Arabidopsis thaliana: one gene and its partners. The protein of the gene in region 2 interacts with the protein of the main gene of each other region in a biochemical or structural test. Each region holds a gene or a part of one and is shown on either strand. Other genes may lie near its edges.

Evidence for each region.
Region 1: the proteins of EIN4 (region 2) and AT1G17345 form a complex in vitro, tested with the Arabidopsis thaliana proteins (one study listed by BioGRID).
Region 3: the proteins of EIN4 (region 2) and AT1G72430 form a complex in vitro, tested with the Arabidopsis thaliana proteins (one study listed by BioGRID).
Region 4: the proteins of EIN4 (region 2) and AT5G20820 form a complex in vitro, tested with the Arabidopsis thaliana proteins (one study listed by BioGRID).

What each region holds. Positions count from the first base shown.
Region 1 is NC_003070.9:5,938,472-5,942,075, forward strand, and holds AT1G17345 (SAUR-like auxin-responsive protein family), read left to right. Parts: upstream 1-1,820; 5' UTR 1,821-2,053; coding exon 2,054-2,449; 3' UTR 2,450-3,054; downstream 3,055-3,604. UniProt on the Arabidopsis thaliana protein: May be involved in the regulation of ethylene receptor signaling. Promotes cell expansion and plant growth.
Region 2 is NC_003074.8:1,234,707-1,240,651, reverse strand, and holds EIN4 (Signal transduction histidine kinase, hybrid-type, ethylene sensor), read left to right. Parts: upstream 1-2,035; 5' UTR 2,036-2,686; coding exon 2,687-4,447; intron 4,448-4,536; coding exon 4,537-5,076; 3' UTR 5,077-5,443; downstream 5,444-5,945. Other genes in the region: AT3G04590 (AT hook motif DNA-binding family protein), read left to right, coding at 138-269, 506-658, 800-1,145, 1,349-1,407.
Region 3 is NC_003070.9:27,264,088-27,267,425, reverse strand, and holds AT1G72430 (SAUR-like auxin-responsive protein family), read left to right. Parts: upstream 1-1,619; 5' UTR 1,620-1,916; coding exon 1,917-2,276; 3' UTR 2,277-2,824; downstream 2,825-3,338. UniProt on the Arabidopsis thaliana protein: May be involved in the regulation of ethylene receptor signaling. Promotes cell expansion and plant growth.
Region 4 is NC_003076.8:7,046,227-7,049,087, reverse strand, and holds AT5G20820 (SAUR-like auxin-responsive protein family), read left to right. Parts: upstream 1-1,641; 5' UTR 1,642-1,793; coding exon 1,794-2,177; 3' UTR 2,178-2,341; downstream 2,342-2,861. UniProt on the Arabidopsis thaliana protein: May be involved in the regulation of ethylene receptor signaling. Promotes cell expansion and plant growth. Involved in the regulation of cell elongation.

The DNA of each region.
Region 1 (3,604 bases), on a different chromosome or scaffold from region 2:
TCGTAATAACAGGAAAAGCACAGAATAACAGTTACATCTTGTAAATATCCGACTCATACCTTTGTAAAGATCCACGTTTCTTGTTTTCTTTTTTTTTTCTTTCTTTCTTTCTATTCTTAGCAAAATAGATTTCATTCTTGTTTTTTCACCACCACCCACAAAGTTTGATTCTGTTTTTCTGTTTTTGGTATATATAGAGGGTTTGGTTTGTTTGTTTTTCCATTTTTTTCGTAATTTATTAACCGCCAATTCATGCGCGGCAATAAATTGTGTTATTAGACCTTTGAATCCATTGTGTTGAAAAGTTACCAACAAACTAAAACATAGCATCCTGATAGAATTATTGCCAAAAGGTTTCTTTAAAGGTTAGAGAGGCCTGCGTTTCGAGACCGGCTAATTTCTAAGAAATCTGGCCCCAAAAATATTTATCTTTTTGCACCCGAAAACACTTTATGTTAGACGACAGGAGCCTCTGTAGTATACCACCTAAGGCTTTCTTGACACGTCGTGTAATGGGCTGACTTCAGCAACACACCTTCCTATATAGAGTACTTAAAAATGTGGACAAAAGAAAAAGTGTAACAAGATTAGGATTTTTTTAGATGCTTCATGTTTCAAACTCTTTTCATTAAACAAAATCTTTTTAATTGGCTGGTTAAACCAAGGAAAAGGTGTAACGCACTCTTGAAGAACAAGAACATCCCAACTGGCTAATTTGCTCTTGCAACTAACTTATTTGTTCAGAATATTTTTATTTAATTCTTCTCATTAAATAATTTGATTTTGTTGGCTGTTGGCTGGCAATTGTTCGCCCACCAAAACCAAAAGCTGTCGGATATTTCTGAGATTAATAAAAAAAAATATACAGCTCTTTTCTTCAATGTTTCAGAATTCAATTCGATGAGGTTAGATTAACAATAAAAGTTCAATCAACTGAGTTAGTATGTTATACACTACATTGTCTACGAGAACCAGGGGTTCTGTCTACAGTTCAGAATATACCAAACGAGTTCTTGATTACAAAATTGTAGCATCACAATGTCAACATTTATATATTAGTATTTTTAAAACGTATTATATTTTCGAAGAAATATTTTAGTGTAGTACATTGAACCGATCACAGAGTCAAATGCACATAAGCAGGGTATTGTTTACGTGCGATAAACAGGTTTATATCTGGATTCTTTTTATACATATATATATATAAATCATCACACAGATTACTACTACTAATTAATCAACATTAATCACTATCACTAAGGTATTTAACTAATGATGATCGACGACTATTTTGTTGTTTGATTTCTCTTAGGCTAAACTATTGATAAAAACAAGTTTGGATCACTTTATAAAGGTTTTCTATACTTCTTTTACCAATTAGCTTATCTCCCACAATGTGCAGTTCGATCAAAGACAGATGCTTTTGTTTTATGACTTCAATTGTCGAATTAGTTTTTATTCAAGAAAGTATAAATTTAAATACGTACATATTAAAATATATGGACCGCTTGTGTTCAAAAAAACATATATATAATAACTAAACTACAAGATTTTGTGTGTAATAATTAAAAAGCTAAATTACTATACACCCTATTCTTTCGGCCAAAACCGTAACTTTAAGCGCGACACTAAATATAATTATCATGGAGATCTTATCTCAATCATGATGTAATCTTTATCTAAAAATCATCGATCACCCTTGCTTGGTCCGATTCATTGCACAACAAGACACAAGAGTAGATTGTCCAGCCCACATACACACGTATGCACATATCAACATGCATCCACACACACTTACACATAATATATAATATAGATTATTAAATAAAATTTAGAGCAAGGGGACACCAGTTTTACAGATTTTGTAGCCTCCTTTATCTTTCTTAGCTGTTCTCTTTCTCTCCCTGTCCCTCAATATAAATACAAAGAACCCAATACTTCCTTCTTACGTACCAAGAAAGTTAGTTTCTCAATTCCTGATAAAACATACACAAAACAATAATCTTAATTTCAAGAAACTACTACTATTGCTAAAAATCAGAGACTTTCGCTAATGGCTATATTCGGTAAACTGACAAAGCTCAAGTCTGCCATAAAGAAATGGCCTTCCTTGACCAAGAACCACCATTCAACCATGTGTACCGCCTCTACCGCCGTATCTGAGGTCTCAAAGTGCGAGGATCTCCATGTGGTTTACGTCGGAAAGTCACGAAGACCTTACATGCTTAGTTCCCACGTCATCGCTCATCCGCTTTTCCAAGAACTACTTGACCGGTCGTCTAGATTTATCGAAGAACGTCACGACCAAGAGACCGTCTTAGTAGCTTGCGAAGTCGTATTGTTCGAGCACTTGTTATGGATGCTCAAAAACAGTTCCTCTGATCACGGCGATGAGGATGATCGCGAAAGAGGATCCGTCGAGGAGTTGGCTGAGTTCTATACTTATTGACGGCGCGATACATATCCATATATACTTTTATTTCGTTAATTTTGGAATTTGATTCGACATGATCCAATAATGCGGTCATGCACAGACCATTTTCTTTGCTTTTGTTTTTCTCCCGAGCAAATTTTTAGAGTTAACTAGTAATCTTTAACTAATATTATAATTATGTCGGTCGAAAGAGGGTAGTAGTATCTTGCCCCAAATGATGATAAATTGTAACATATGCTAAAATTGTTTTTTATGATTAGCTCCATTTGATATACATGTACTCTACAGTAGTACGTAGTTATGAGATTTTCGAAAGAATAAAAGTGGCCGCCACATGATGATGCGCAGGGCTACCCAATTGCACGGACGGTTGTCCTACTTGCCTTTCTAGTGGCATCAAGCTGTCACGGAAACAAATATTTAAGTATAAATTACTAACTACGTCTATAAGTGTATCCAAGTTGTAATGTGAAGTGAAATTAGGTATAAACTTCTTGGAGTAATTAATTAAACATGACTACGATGTGAGTATGTATGGCTCGTAATCATAATGGTGGTTTTTAATAAAATAATAAAATATAGGATGCTCATTAACTCGACCAGCATAATTATTTATGTAGTTCTTAATATCTCATGTCAAGCTATAGCCTATATGTAGATAATGGGATATCTTTGCCTGAATATAAACAAAGAATTATGTATTTCAACGTTGAAAAAAAATTCGTATTAATTGAATCTGTATAAAAAAATGGACACTTTGTGGATTTACTATTGGGGAATATATTGGAGAACTTGGGCCAAATAGGCCCATTTAATAAGATTGGTCTCGCAAAACGGCATCGTGGCGTAGAAACAGTGACGTGCAGCTTGGTGGTCTTCAAGTTTGACTGTTAATCGGTAAACAGAGGCTGATTGTGCGACGGTGACGGCAAATCCAGTGAGTGAGTTCCTATCATCTTTGCTTCGTTTAGTGGAAACTCTAAAACTTTAGAATAGTTTTAGTTAGTCTTTAGCATTTGGCTTGTTCTAATTATCAGATCTTCTTGTTCTGAGATTTTTCTTTCCTGTGCATTTCGGAGCAGAATATGAATTCATATGGCAACCTTTTTATTAGCGTCTGTGATATATGTCGGGTTTTTCTGAAGGATTTGGGGACAATTTGTTTTTTCA
Region 2 (5,945 bases):
GATTTGTTGGTGTAGGCACAATATCTATCATTCTTTCAATTCTAAGTCATTCTATTTCTCTTTTTGTTTCATTGATACTAATGCAAATCGAGGAGGATCCTTAATGATTCTAAGTGTTCTCTTTGTGATACTGTCAGGATGTGGTCCAGAAAATTATGATGTTCGCAAACCAAAGCAAGCATGAACTATGCGTTCTTTCTGCATCAGGCACTATCTCTAATGCATCCTTGCGCCAACCGGCTCCATCAGGAGGCAACTTACCATATGAGGTGATTTTCTCTTGCAGTAAAATAGTACTCAGCTTGCTTCTTTGTTGTTTCTTTCCAAAGGGGAGAGGAGGGTTTTTTCTTTCTGATCCTTTCTCTCTATTCTGTGTGATAGAGGAAAATTGATACACAATACAGTTAGCATGTTGATAAAGCAAAGAGATTCTTAATTCAGATACTTTCTTTGAAGTTTGCATATCATTGTTAAACTTGCCTCAAATTTCAAAAAATTTATTCAGGGTCAATACGAGATTCTCTCACTATCTGGATCCTATATCCGAACTGAACAAGGTGGTAAATCCGGCGGCCTTAGCGTTTCTTTATCTGCTTCAGATGGTCAGATCATCGGTGGAGCGATTGGTAGCCATCTCACAGCTGCTGGCCCGGTTCAGGTACAATTCTGTTGTATCATAGTTTCAACTTGCATATATTGAAACATTGTTATTGTTTCCAACCATCTTACACAAAACTGATCATTTCCTAAGATAGGAGGTCTGGCTTTGATTGATCGCCTTAGATTTGTGCAAATGCAGGTGATTCTTGGTACGTTTCAGCTTGATAGAAAGAAGGATGCCGCCGGGAGTGGTGGGAAAGGGGATGCTTCAAACAGTGGAAGTCGGTTAACTTCTCCTGTAAGCTCTGGACAGTTGCTTGGCATGGGTTTCCCTCCTGGTATGGAATCTACGGGAAGAAATCCAATGAGGGGAAACGACGAGCAACATGATCATCATCATCATCAAGCCGGTTTGGGTGGACCTCATCATTTCATGATGCAAGCGCCGCAGGGGATACACATGACACATTCCAGGCCATCTGAATGGCGCGGAGGAGGCAACAGCGGTCATGATGGCAGAGGCGGTGGCGGGTATGATTTGTCAGGTAACAAAAAAGCTCAAAACTTCTCGAAAGATGTCATCTTTCTTCATCAAAGTTCAAACCCTTAAATCCAAACAAGGACAGATTAGAATTGCTATGGAGATTGGTGGAAATTAGTATTTTGTAGAGTTCTAGAAGATTACAGGCTAAAGCTCTTCTCCGTTGTGGCAATGGCTTGAAACGCTGATGGATGTAATCTTGTGCAGGAAGGATAGGACATGAGTCGTCGGAGAATGGAGATTACGAGCAGCAAATACCGGATTAGCAGAGCTTCCAGGAGAAGTGTGTAGAGTTTAGATCCCAAGTAGAGAAACAGAAGGCGAGCAAAGAATCTGAACTGAGAGAGGACTTATTAGACAGAGACTCGTCTGAAGGGTCTTTAATCATAGAAAGAAGTTGCTGAGTGATTGCTTTTGTTCTTCTTCTTGGTACGGTGTATTATATTAACTCCACAACCTTTTTTTTATACTTTCAGTAACGATTCTCCTTCACTTTCAATTTCATTCCTTTTTTTTATACTCTTTTTCTTTTCTTATAATATTTTTTTTGGTTTTTCTTTCGTTTGTTACTAAAAAAGGAAATGCTCTTTTTGTGAAATATATACACTTCGTTTGTTCGGTTTCTACTTATGTTAATTATTCATAACCTATCTTAATTTAGTAAACGGTTCCTATGAGCCGTTACTTGGACCAAAACATTAACTCATTTGACGAAGAACAAAAAAACTCATTTGAGAATTCTGTTTATTTATTCATATTAATATTGATTTAGTTTAAAATTCTTGGTAACTTTATGTCAAGTTGTCAACTTGTAAATTTCTTGATTGATAATGTTGGAATGCTATAACTTATGTGAAGCCAAAAATTACTGTTAAAAATTCTTATCTTTAATGGGAATTTTTTGTTGACATCTAAGCTTAAAGTGAAACACCACCATTTTTATGGACTTGAGCAACTCTCCGGAAATTGCTTAAGCGAAAAGTCTGCTGCTTTTGTCTTAAAAAAACTTTGAATATTGTTGACTCAAGTCTGAAAATCCGCAACTGAAACTCCCGGAAAAGATCTGCCACCACCGGACCAACTCGGTTTCTTCTCTTTTCTAATCACTTCTTCTGTTTCTCCAACTTCTGTGAAAAAGATGTCAGATTGACTCGATTTCGTTGCTACAAATGGAGATGGGTCTTTCTTATTTATCTTACTAGATTCGAGAGGTGTGTTCTTTCTCTATTCTATTGGCTTGAATCTTAGCTTTCGTTTTTCTCTGATTACCTTCCCCTGGAATTTAAAAAAAAAAAACTCAAAGGCGGTTTCTTTTCTCAGTACTACGAATATCGAGGAACATAGATCTTGATTCCTTTGCCTTCTTCTGGGTATGCGTGTTTGGAGTTGTTTAATCTCATTGGTCTCTACGCGTTGTGGAAATCTATGAATACCAAGTCAGTTATGTTTAATTGGTTCATTGGATCTCAACTTGTAGAGAGCCTCAAGATTGTGGCTGGATTTGATTAGGGTTTTAGATAGAGAGATTAAAGATTGGATCAGAAGATGTTAAGATCTTTAGGTCTTGGATTGCTTCTGTTTGCTCTTCTTGCTCTGGTTTCTGGTGATAACGATTACGTGAGCTGTAATTGTGACGACGAAGGTTTCTTAAGTGTCCACACCATCTTAGAATGTCAAAGAGTGAGTGATCTCTTAATAGCCATTGCCTATTTCTCAATACCTCTCGAGCTTCTCTACTTCATTAGCTTCTCCAATGTTCCTTTCAAATGGGTTCTTGTTCAATTCATTGCCTTTATTGTCCTATGTGGAATGACTCATTTGCTTAACGCTTGGACGTATTACGGACCACACTCTTTCCAGCTTATGCTTTGGCTTACCATCTTTAAATTCCTCACGGCGCTTGTCTCGTGTGCCACGGCTATCACGCTCTTGACTTTGATTCCGTTGCTGTTGAAATGGAAAGTTAGAGAGCTTTACTTGAAGCAGAATGTGTTGGAGCTTAATGAAGAGGTTGGATTGATGAAGAGGCAGAAGGAAATGAGTGTGCAGGTGAGAATGCTTACTCGGGAGATCAGGAAATCGCTCGATAAGCATATGATTCTGCGGACTACTCTCGTTGAGCTATCCAAGATTCTTGATTTACAGAACTCTGCTGTTTGGATGCCTAACGAGAACAGAACCGAGATGCATTTGACTCATGAGCTTAGAGCGAATCCGATGAGGAGTTTCAGGGTAATCCCGATTAATGATCCCGATGTTGTTCAGGTTAGGGAGACCAAAGTAGTGACAATTTTGAGGAAAAACTCTGTTCTTGCGGTTGAGAGCAGTGGTTGTGGCGGTTCGGAAGAGTTTGGACCGGTTGCTGCAATTCGGATGCCGATGCTTCACGGATTGAATTTCAAAGGAGGCACTCCCGAGTTTGTGGATACTCCTTATGCTATAATGGTTTTGGTACTTCCGAGTGCGAATTCACGGGTTTGGACCGATAAAGAGATCGAGATAGCGGAAGTTGTTGCTGATCAAGTAGCGGTTGCTATCTCTCATGCCTCAGTTCTTGAAGAATCACAGTTAATGAGAGAAAAACTCGGTATTCAAAACCGAGCTTTACTTCGAGCAAAACAGAACGCGATGATGGCAAGTCAAGCGAGGAACACTTGCCAGAAAGTGATGAGTCATGGAATGAGGAGACCAATGCACACAATTCTTGGTCTACTCTCCATGTTTCAGTCCGAAAGTATGAGTCTTGACCAGAAAATCATCGTTGATGCGCTCATGAAAACAAGCACAGTTCTCTCAGCTTTAATCAACGACGTGATTGACATTTCGCCTAAAGATAACGGGAAATCTGCATTAGAGGTTAAACGGTTCCAGCTACATTCCTTGATAAGAGAAGCCGCTTGTGTTGCTAAATGCTTAAGCGTTTACAAAGGTTACGGTTTTGAGATGGATGTTCAAACGCGGTTGCCTAATTTAGTAGTAGGAGATGAAAAGAGAACGTTTCAGCTTGTGATGTATATGCTTGGGTATATCTTGGATATGACTGATGGAGGCAAAACCGTTACGTTCCGAGTTATCTGTGAAGGTACTGGAACAAGTCAGGACAAGAGCAAAAGAGAAACTGGAATGTGGAAGTCCCATATGTCCGATGATTCCCTCGGTGTGAAATTTGAAGTTGAGATTAATGAGATTCAGAATCCTCCATTGGATGGTTCGGCTATGGCTATGAGACATATTCCGAACAGAAGATATCATAGCAATGGGATTAAGGAAGGCTTGAGCTTAGGCATGTGTAGAAAACTTGCACAGGTTAGTGATCTCATCATGTCTCTGTTTCTGTTTGGTATATAGAGATTCTAATTATAAACAGTGTATTTGATTTGAAATTTGTTTTGCAGATGATGCAAGGAAACATATGGATATCACCTAAATCGCATGGACAAACACAGAGTATGCAATTAGTTCTGAGGTTTCAGACAAGACCATCGATTAGGAGATCAATCTTAGCAGGAAATGCTCCAGAGCTTCAACATCCGAATTCAAATTCCATTCTTCGTGGTCTAAGAATCACTCTAGCAGACGATGATGATGTCAACAGAACCGTGACTAAGAGACTTCTTGAGAAACTCGGCTGCGAAGTAACTGCTGTCTCGTCTGGATTTGAGTGTTTGAATGCGTTGTCAAATGTGGAAATGTCGTATAGAGTTGTGATTTTGGATCTGCAGATGCCGGAGATGGATGGTTTCGAAGTAGCAATGAAGATAAGGAAGTTTTGTGGACATCATTGGCCATTGATTATAGCTTTGACTGCTAGTACTGAAGATCATGTTAGGGAAAGATGTTTGCAAATGGGGATGAATGGTATGATCCAGAAACCGGTTCTTTTGCATGTTATGGCTTCTGAGCTTAGACGGGCTTTGCAGACCGCGAGCGAGTGATTCGAGCTCAGAGAAGGAAGCAGATATCAATGAATCTTGAAAAGCAAAAATCTTGAAACGAAGAAAAGCAGAGTGAGGATTCTTTGAAGATGTGAAGCATAGAGACACCTCTCTGGGGAAATGTTTTTGTTGTTGTTGTTGTCTCGGTTCTACAGTGATGAGAATTGAGTCAGTTTTCTCTATTTAGCCTAGTTTGGAGATTGGTTGGTTCGAAACTATTTATACGTAATGATTTCGCATTTTTAGCGAAAAAATAACATAAGTTTATTAGATTTAATAATAATTAATTTTATAATTTTGTCTTGAGTAAATTCTCTCTGAATATTTATACAATTCTTTTTTTGCATCTCATTATTAAATTCATCATATTTTGTCAAAATTCATCGCTTGTATTCTCTAATCTATTGCTCTAACTTTTTATTCTTTGTTTACTATTTTTTGACATTTTTTATTTAGTTTTACTATTCAGACTGAATGTTTCAAGCATTGTATATTTTGGACATTTCTTTGTCAACCAAAAAGAAATAATATTGTATCAAATCAAATGAAATTTATTAATTATTTATTTTTTGTCAATGTAATTTAGTTAGTATTTTATCAAATGTATTTTTTGTTTGTTTTTTGATATAAACAAAAAGTCTATTTAAAAATACTTTTTTTGACGGCAAAAACTTTATTTGACAGCAAAAACGTTTTTTTCTTAAAGACTAAAGTTTAGACCAGACCACCACACCAAACGTTTGATTGCTAAATGTTAGTATCTATACGAACACCAAAGTTAATGTTATTTAATGCTTTGTGTAGTCTTAAGAACGAACATCACGTAACGCTATAAATTATGTTCGACATATCGATGTTCGAATTTTTTA
Region 3 (3,338 bases), on a different chromosome or scaffold from region 2:
TTTTAATACAACTAATCGAAAATTTCTCTTAAATTAAGTTTCTAACCTTTTTAGTAATATTTAATCTAATCCAAAAAAATGAATTTCTAAAAGTATCACACCTTAGAATATTAAGTAATACATGTTGCTACCTTTATATAATTAAGTTATAGCATAACTCGATTTATGCTAATCATTGCAATGATTACGAATCGGAAGTAATTAGTATTCCTAAATTCAGATTGCTTGTTTGTTTCGTGTGATGCCAGTATGTATATGCTGCATATATGCGCGTATCATTTTCCTTTCTTCAAATCTTCAAAAATTCTCTAAGATCTTCACTATTCAAAAATAAAATATTTCACTCTTGATCAAATTGTAGGTCTGGTTTGATGTTTTACTAGCTACATAAGTACATTAAGATAAAGATAGTTATCTAATGTTTAATGATGAGAGAGTACTATATTACTATTTTATTTCTTTTGCTATAAACAAGTACTATATGTTCGACCATTTATAAAAAAGAAGTATCTAAAAATTCCTTAAATGATTAGCTTACCATCCACAACTTTTTTTGTTCGATAAAAGACAGACGGTAAGGTAAGGTCTTCTCCACCTAATTTCTCGGAAATGCCAAACTAACTTTATGAAAAGAATGAGCAATATTTATGATTATGCATTTGCACTAGATAAAAGGACTGTGTCTTGTCGAAAAGAGCATAATATGCTTGTGGTTAGTTTTTGCATCCGTCAATAAAACCTAATTACCGTGTAAATTATATGAGTTTACGAGTTTAATTTTATAGTATGCTTTTTGAATGTTCATATCTAATTTATGTTCTTAATATGAAATGAAGAAAATCGAAGGTAAATCGACAGATGAAGACCATACTTGTTTTCTATAGTACATGATAATATGAACGACAAAAAATTAGCATTATCGGGTAATATTGAACAAAATTGTGGACAAGATGTAATCGTTATCTAAAAAACATCGCTCTTTGTCCGATCATTAGACAACAACACGCAATAAGAGGTTGCCTACACATCTCTACTCACCGCACGTATATGTATATATCTACAAATTATTATATACTATAAGACATCATAATATACAAAATACAATTTAAAAAAAAATTATACAACAAACATGAATGTTTATCAAGCAAGCATTTCCAAAACTGGATTTGTGGTGTCTGACATTTATGTAGGCAAAACAAAATGTCACAGGTAAGAGAAATAGTGTGTATATATAGTATCAAATATATATAAAAAGGAAAAAAAATTGTATCAAATAATTTAATAGTTTTGTTATGTTAAATTAGATAAAATGTTATTTATTATGTATTTTTTATTGATATATATATATATATATATTTAGCCAAATAAATTAATGGTGTAATGATCACTTGTTATATCTGTTTTTTTTAATAGAACGTATTTATCAGTTTTTTCGTAGACCGTATCATTCCCTCATCCATCTATCATAATTTTACAATATTTTTCTTATCAGCAAGTGTAATTTGTAACATGAAAATAAATGAATGAATATGGCAAAATTTATTACAAAATTAAAATTATTACGAATCTCAATATATAATTACAAGATACAACAAAAAAGAAAGAAAAAACAATGGGCAAAAAACGATACTAGTTTTGCCATTTATGTCCTCATCTCTCTTAGCTGTTATGCATCAATCGGTGGGTCATGCACCTATACGTTCTCTCTCTATCTCACTCAATATATATACACGAACCTTCCTCGTTATTTCCTCCCAAGAACATCTCTCAAACATTCCTCTCTTCTTCTTCCAATATTTTGATCCCCACACACACTCACATCAACACATATAAATCTCCTCGTAAACCCTAAACCCTAGCTAGTTTCAACAACTCTCTTGTTCCAACCCCAAGAAAAAAGTTCAATTTCGTTAGCAATGGCCAAAGTTGGGAAGCTGACAAAGCTTAAGTCGGCTATGAAGAAATGGCCTTCTTTCGCCAAGAACCACCACCACTCAACCTCCTCAGCCGCTGTTTCCGACGAACTCTCAGAAGACAACAATCTCCATGTGGTTTACGTTGGTCAAACTCGAAGACCTTACATGCTTAGACCAGACATCATCTCTCACCCACTCTTTCAAGAACTCGTGGATCGGTCTTCTTCTAGATCCATCGAACAAGATCGTGAGATTGTTGTAGCTTGTGAAGTCGTTTTGTTCGAGCACTTGCTGTGGATGCTCAAGTCTGGTCAAGAAGGAGGATCCGTTGAAGAATTGGCTGAGTTCTATACTTATTGACATCGACCGATTGATTTTATACATTTATTTCGTATAATATATACCTTTTTTGTTGTTGTTTGTTGTTGCTGATTTGTATTTTCATTCGATGCGGTGTGTGATCAAAACGTGATCTCGTAAACCATGTCATTTGCTTCCGTTTTTCTGAGCAATTTTATGATGATGATGAGCATATGTAGTTTTCTTACTTTGTTAAGACCAACCAAGAATAAATTTCTACTAACAACAATCTTTATATATATTTTCCTTCAAAATGTATTTCAGTACCTATATTAATTGTAATATACATAAAAAAAGAATGCAATGATTTCAAGAAAACAAACTAAGTTTTCTGGTAGGTTTTGTTTCTATATTTATTTTATTATGGCGGTTTTGTAAACTTTTGTTTCTATTTTCGTAACGTATCTTTCTCATATGAGTCATGAGTCTCATGACATAATAAAGAAGGCCTTTGATGATGTTCGATAAACAAAAGTTGGTTGAATATGATGAGTCCAATTCATTTATTTTGCTTTATATAAACAAAATATGACTAGCAATGATTTCTATCATCGATATTCATTTTTTTTTTTTTTTGCGTATCATTTGTATGGTGTCAGTTTCAAATCTATTTTTGTGTGTGTATAAAATAGAAAATACGTATGCAATTTCTTTTAAGGAAATAATAATGGTCGCTCTCATGACGCGTTGGTGACCTGGTCCCAATTTCATGTCCCTACTCTCCTTTCTAGTTGCAGACATTATATATTTATCTTTTAATATTCTTGAACTTTCAGCCATACAAAATAAATTAAAGCTTACAGGTTAATTAGTCGATATACTAATAAATTTGTAGTTTGTTGTACTAATTGGCATTACTTACACCAACATATGTGCATTAATATACGTTTATAGACATAAATTGGTAGATAAAATAACTGACATTAATTTTCCGAGGTGGGTACGAAAAGGACGCGCAGAATAATTATTGAAGATAAGTATAATTAGTAAGACCAAAATAAATTAATTTCCTACGTAGGACGAAGTTCTAATCATTATAATCAAAGAAAAGAAGTTTCTTTG
Region 4 (2,861 bases), on a different chromosome or scaffold from region 2:
TTGTTTATAAATGTTTCCTCAAAACAAATGTTTGGTTTTATTGTCCACGGGCTATGCACCACTTAAATAGTGGGGAACACACATGTGTGTGCATTCCCCTTTGTTTAAGGCAATTCTGATATTAAGAACTAAAGCTTTGTATCAACTTTATGAGTAAGTTCCATGCTAGCTTTAGGTTTTTCAAAGGTTTAGATTATATGTCTGCAATGGTGAACGTAAACTATGAATGCATATGCATTATAAGATAGTTTTTCAACGTTTTTTGGCCTTTTGGGAAAGAAACTTCAGTCGTCTAAACGGTTCCTCTAGTACAGCTTGACGCTTTGGCAGGTGATCGAGTCCGCCCAAAAATAGAGAACTTGACATTTTCACTAACAAATTTATTTGATACTATAAATCTGTGATTGGTCGTTGCTCTCATCTTAATTTCTTCTATATTATCTTTACTTGGACTCTTCCGCCAATCTTTTATAAATCTCACACTTTTAATTAATATGATGTCTAGTTTATTACGAAGATTGATAAACTTTTCAATTAATTATAAGTAGACAAACTAGGAGGAGGTCCAATTTCATATTAATATTTTGGTTACATGATTAGAAAGACATTTGATGCCCTTGTGTCGGCTGATTATGATATAAACAATTTTACGTAAAAAAAGAAGAAGACAAATCTTCCGGAACTCACATGCTGTAACAGTAGAAGCCAATACTACGTAAATAATAAATAAACTTCACAAATGAATAATGTCGGAGTCTAATCTAACCACAACAAAATGACAAAATTTTGCAATTTTATAGTATTTGTTATTGTAACATGTTATGTGTAAAAAAAGAGAAGATAATTTTTTTAATCAAAAGCAGAGATAGCCAATTACTTACCTAACTAATTAGAACTAATAAGCCGCTTTAGAAGTTCATGAACCTCCTTTAGTTGTTGGATTAGTTTATTATAATCAAGTGATTACATAAAGTTCACAGCTTCATTTATATTGTTATGATCTTCATTCAAAGAAATTTATATTTTATATAAACGAGAAAAATGGGAACTCCATAAATTTTTAGAAGAAAAATTGTCGTAGTTAAATATCTAACTGAAATTCGTTGAAAGAAAAGAGAATATATTTAAAGTTTCTAATAAATACTATGAAAATCCTTTGAAGAAAAGTACATATTGAATAGAACATATAATCTAGTAAGTTTGTGGTACTCGTTACTTCATCATTTGGATTGAAATGACACAAAAACAAATGTGATGAAGATCCAAACTTAACAAAAATTCATCCAAAATATAAGTTTACACTTTACACACTCGAAGTCTCGAAGGTTCTTACCACAACGTAGTTAAAACGTTAGCCAAATTTAGTTTTAAGAAAATGGTTATGGGGAAATGATGATGTATATGGTTGACTGGGATAACAAAAACTTTTGGAGTGATGTGGGTTTGCATGTTTTAATATATACTTTTAGCTTTATCTTTCCAATTCATAATCATAATCTTTTCGAATAATTGCTTCCGGCTCTTGGAAACTTTTAGATCATTGGATAATGGCTATTCAAAAATCGGTTGATAACCTAAACGTTCTCAAACTTATTAAAACCATGAAATTATACTGAAAATAATAATACTATAATTACGAATCTACCCTTAGCAAGTTATATAAGAACATCATTCTCCTTTCTCTCTTCGACATCGACATTCCTCTTCCTCGCTTCTCTCTCTCTCTCTCTCTCACCGGAAAACTCACTCGGACTTACATTTCCGACGTCAAACTTCTCCAAACCGAATCGGTAATGGCGAAAGGAGGAAACAAACTGATGAAGCTGAAATCAGTTTTGAAGAAACTCAATTCATTCAACACCAAGCCTAACCAGCCACCAGCTCAAACCAATCACAGCCGATCCTCCGCCGTGAGTGCGTTCCCCTCTGAAGACCTTCAAACTGTCTACGTAGGCCGAACACGGAGGACATACCACGTGAGCTCCGATGTCGTGAGCCACCCGCTCTTCCAGCAGCTAGCGGCGGTGGATGGTGGATGCGGCAGCGAGGACGGTTCCATCTCTGTGTCGTGCGAAGTTGTCTTGTTTGAGCATTTGCTTTGGATGTTGGAGAACGCCGACGCCGATGAGTCACGCCCCGAGTCGGTCTACGAACTTGTCGAGTTCTACGCTTGTTAACTCTTTATGATTAATTTAGGTTCAAAATATATTTATGATTAAATGTTACATGTTTGTATATTCTACACTTTGTATACTTTACACTTTACATAGTATTTCGTGAAATAATCTATTTTCTGTTAAATGATACAACAACGATAAAATAAATGTTTAAATGTGTAAATATTGTCTTGCAAGTTGCAATGTAGTTTAAAAATGATGATTTTTTAATGGTTATACAAAGAGCTAAAACTAATTGCAATGTCAATGTTGTATTTGACTGACTTCGTGAACTAGATCAATCACGGGCTACAAAATTTCAAACCCTAATCAATTCATCTTATCTACTTTAGATTGATTGGCCCCTACGTATTTAAATATATTTATAAAATTTATCCGTGTATCTTTTTTTTTCCATAAAAACATACGTATACACGCATGTCATGCACAATTGCACATAAACATACAAACTAAACAATTAAACAATGAACGTATTATATAGATAAATAATTTTGATAAAGTCTAGACGGATTTGCATCTTTTAAAGTCGCAAAAGAAATATGATGACTGAGAAAAAAAAATATAATAAATTAAATCTACATGTGATGTTTTTTAATTTTTGTTTTGGCAAAAGTCATGTAAGAAACTGATTTTATTTGGTAAAATGCAGAATGAAAAAAAAAACGATTAAACATATTTAGGCTT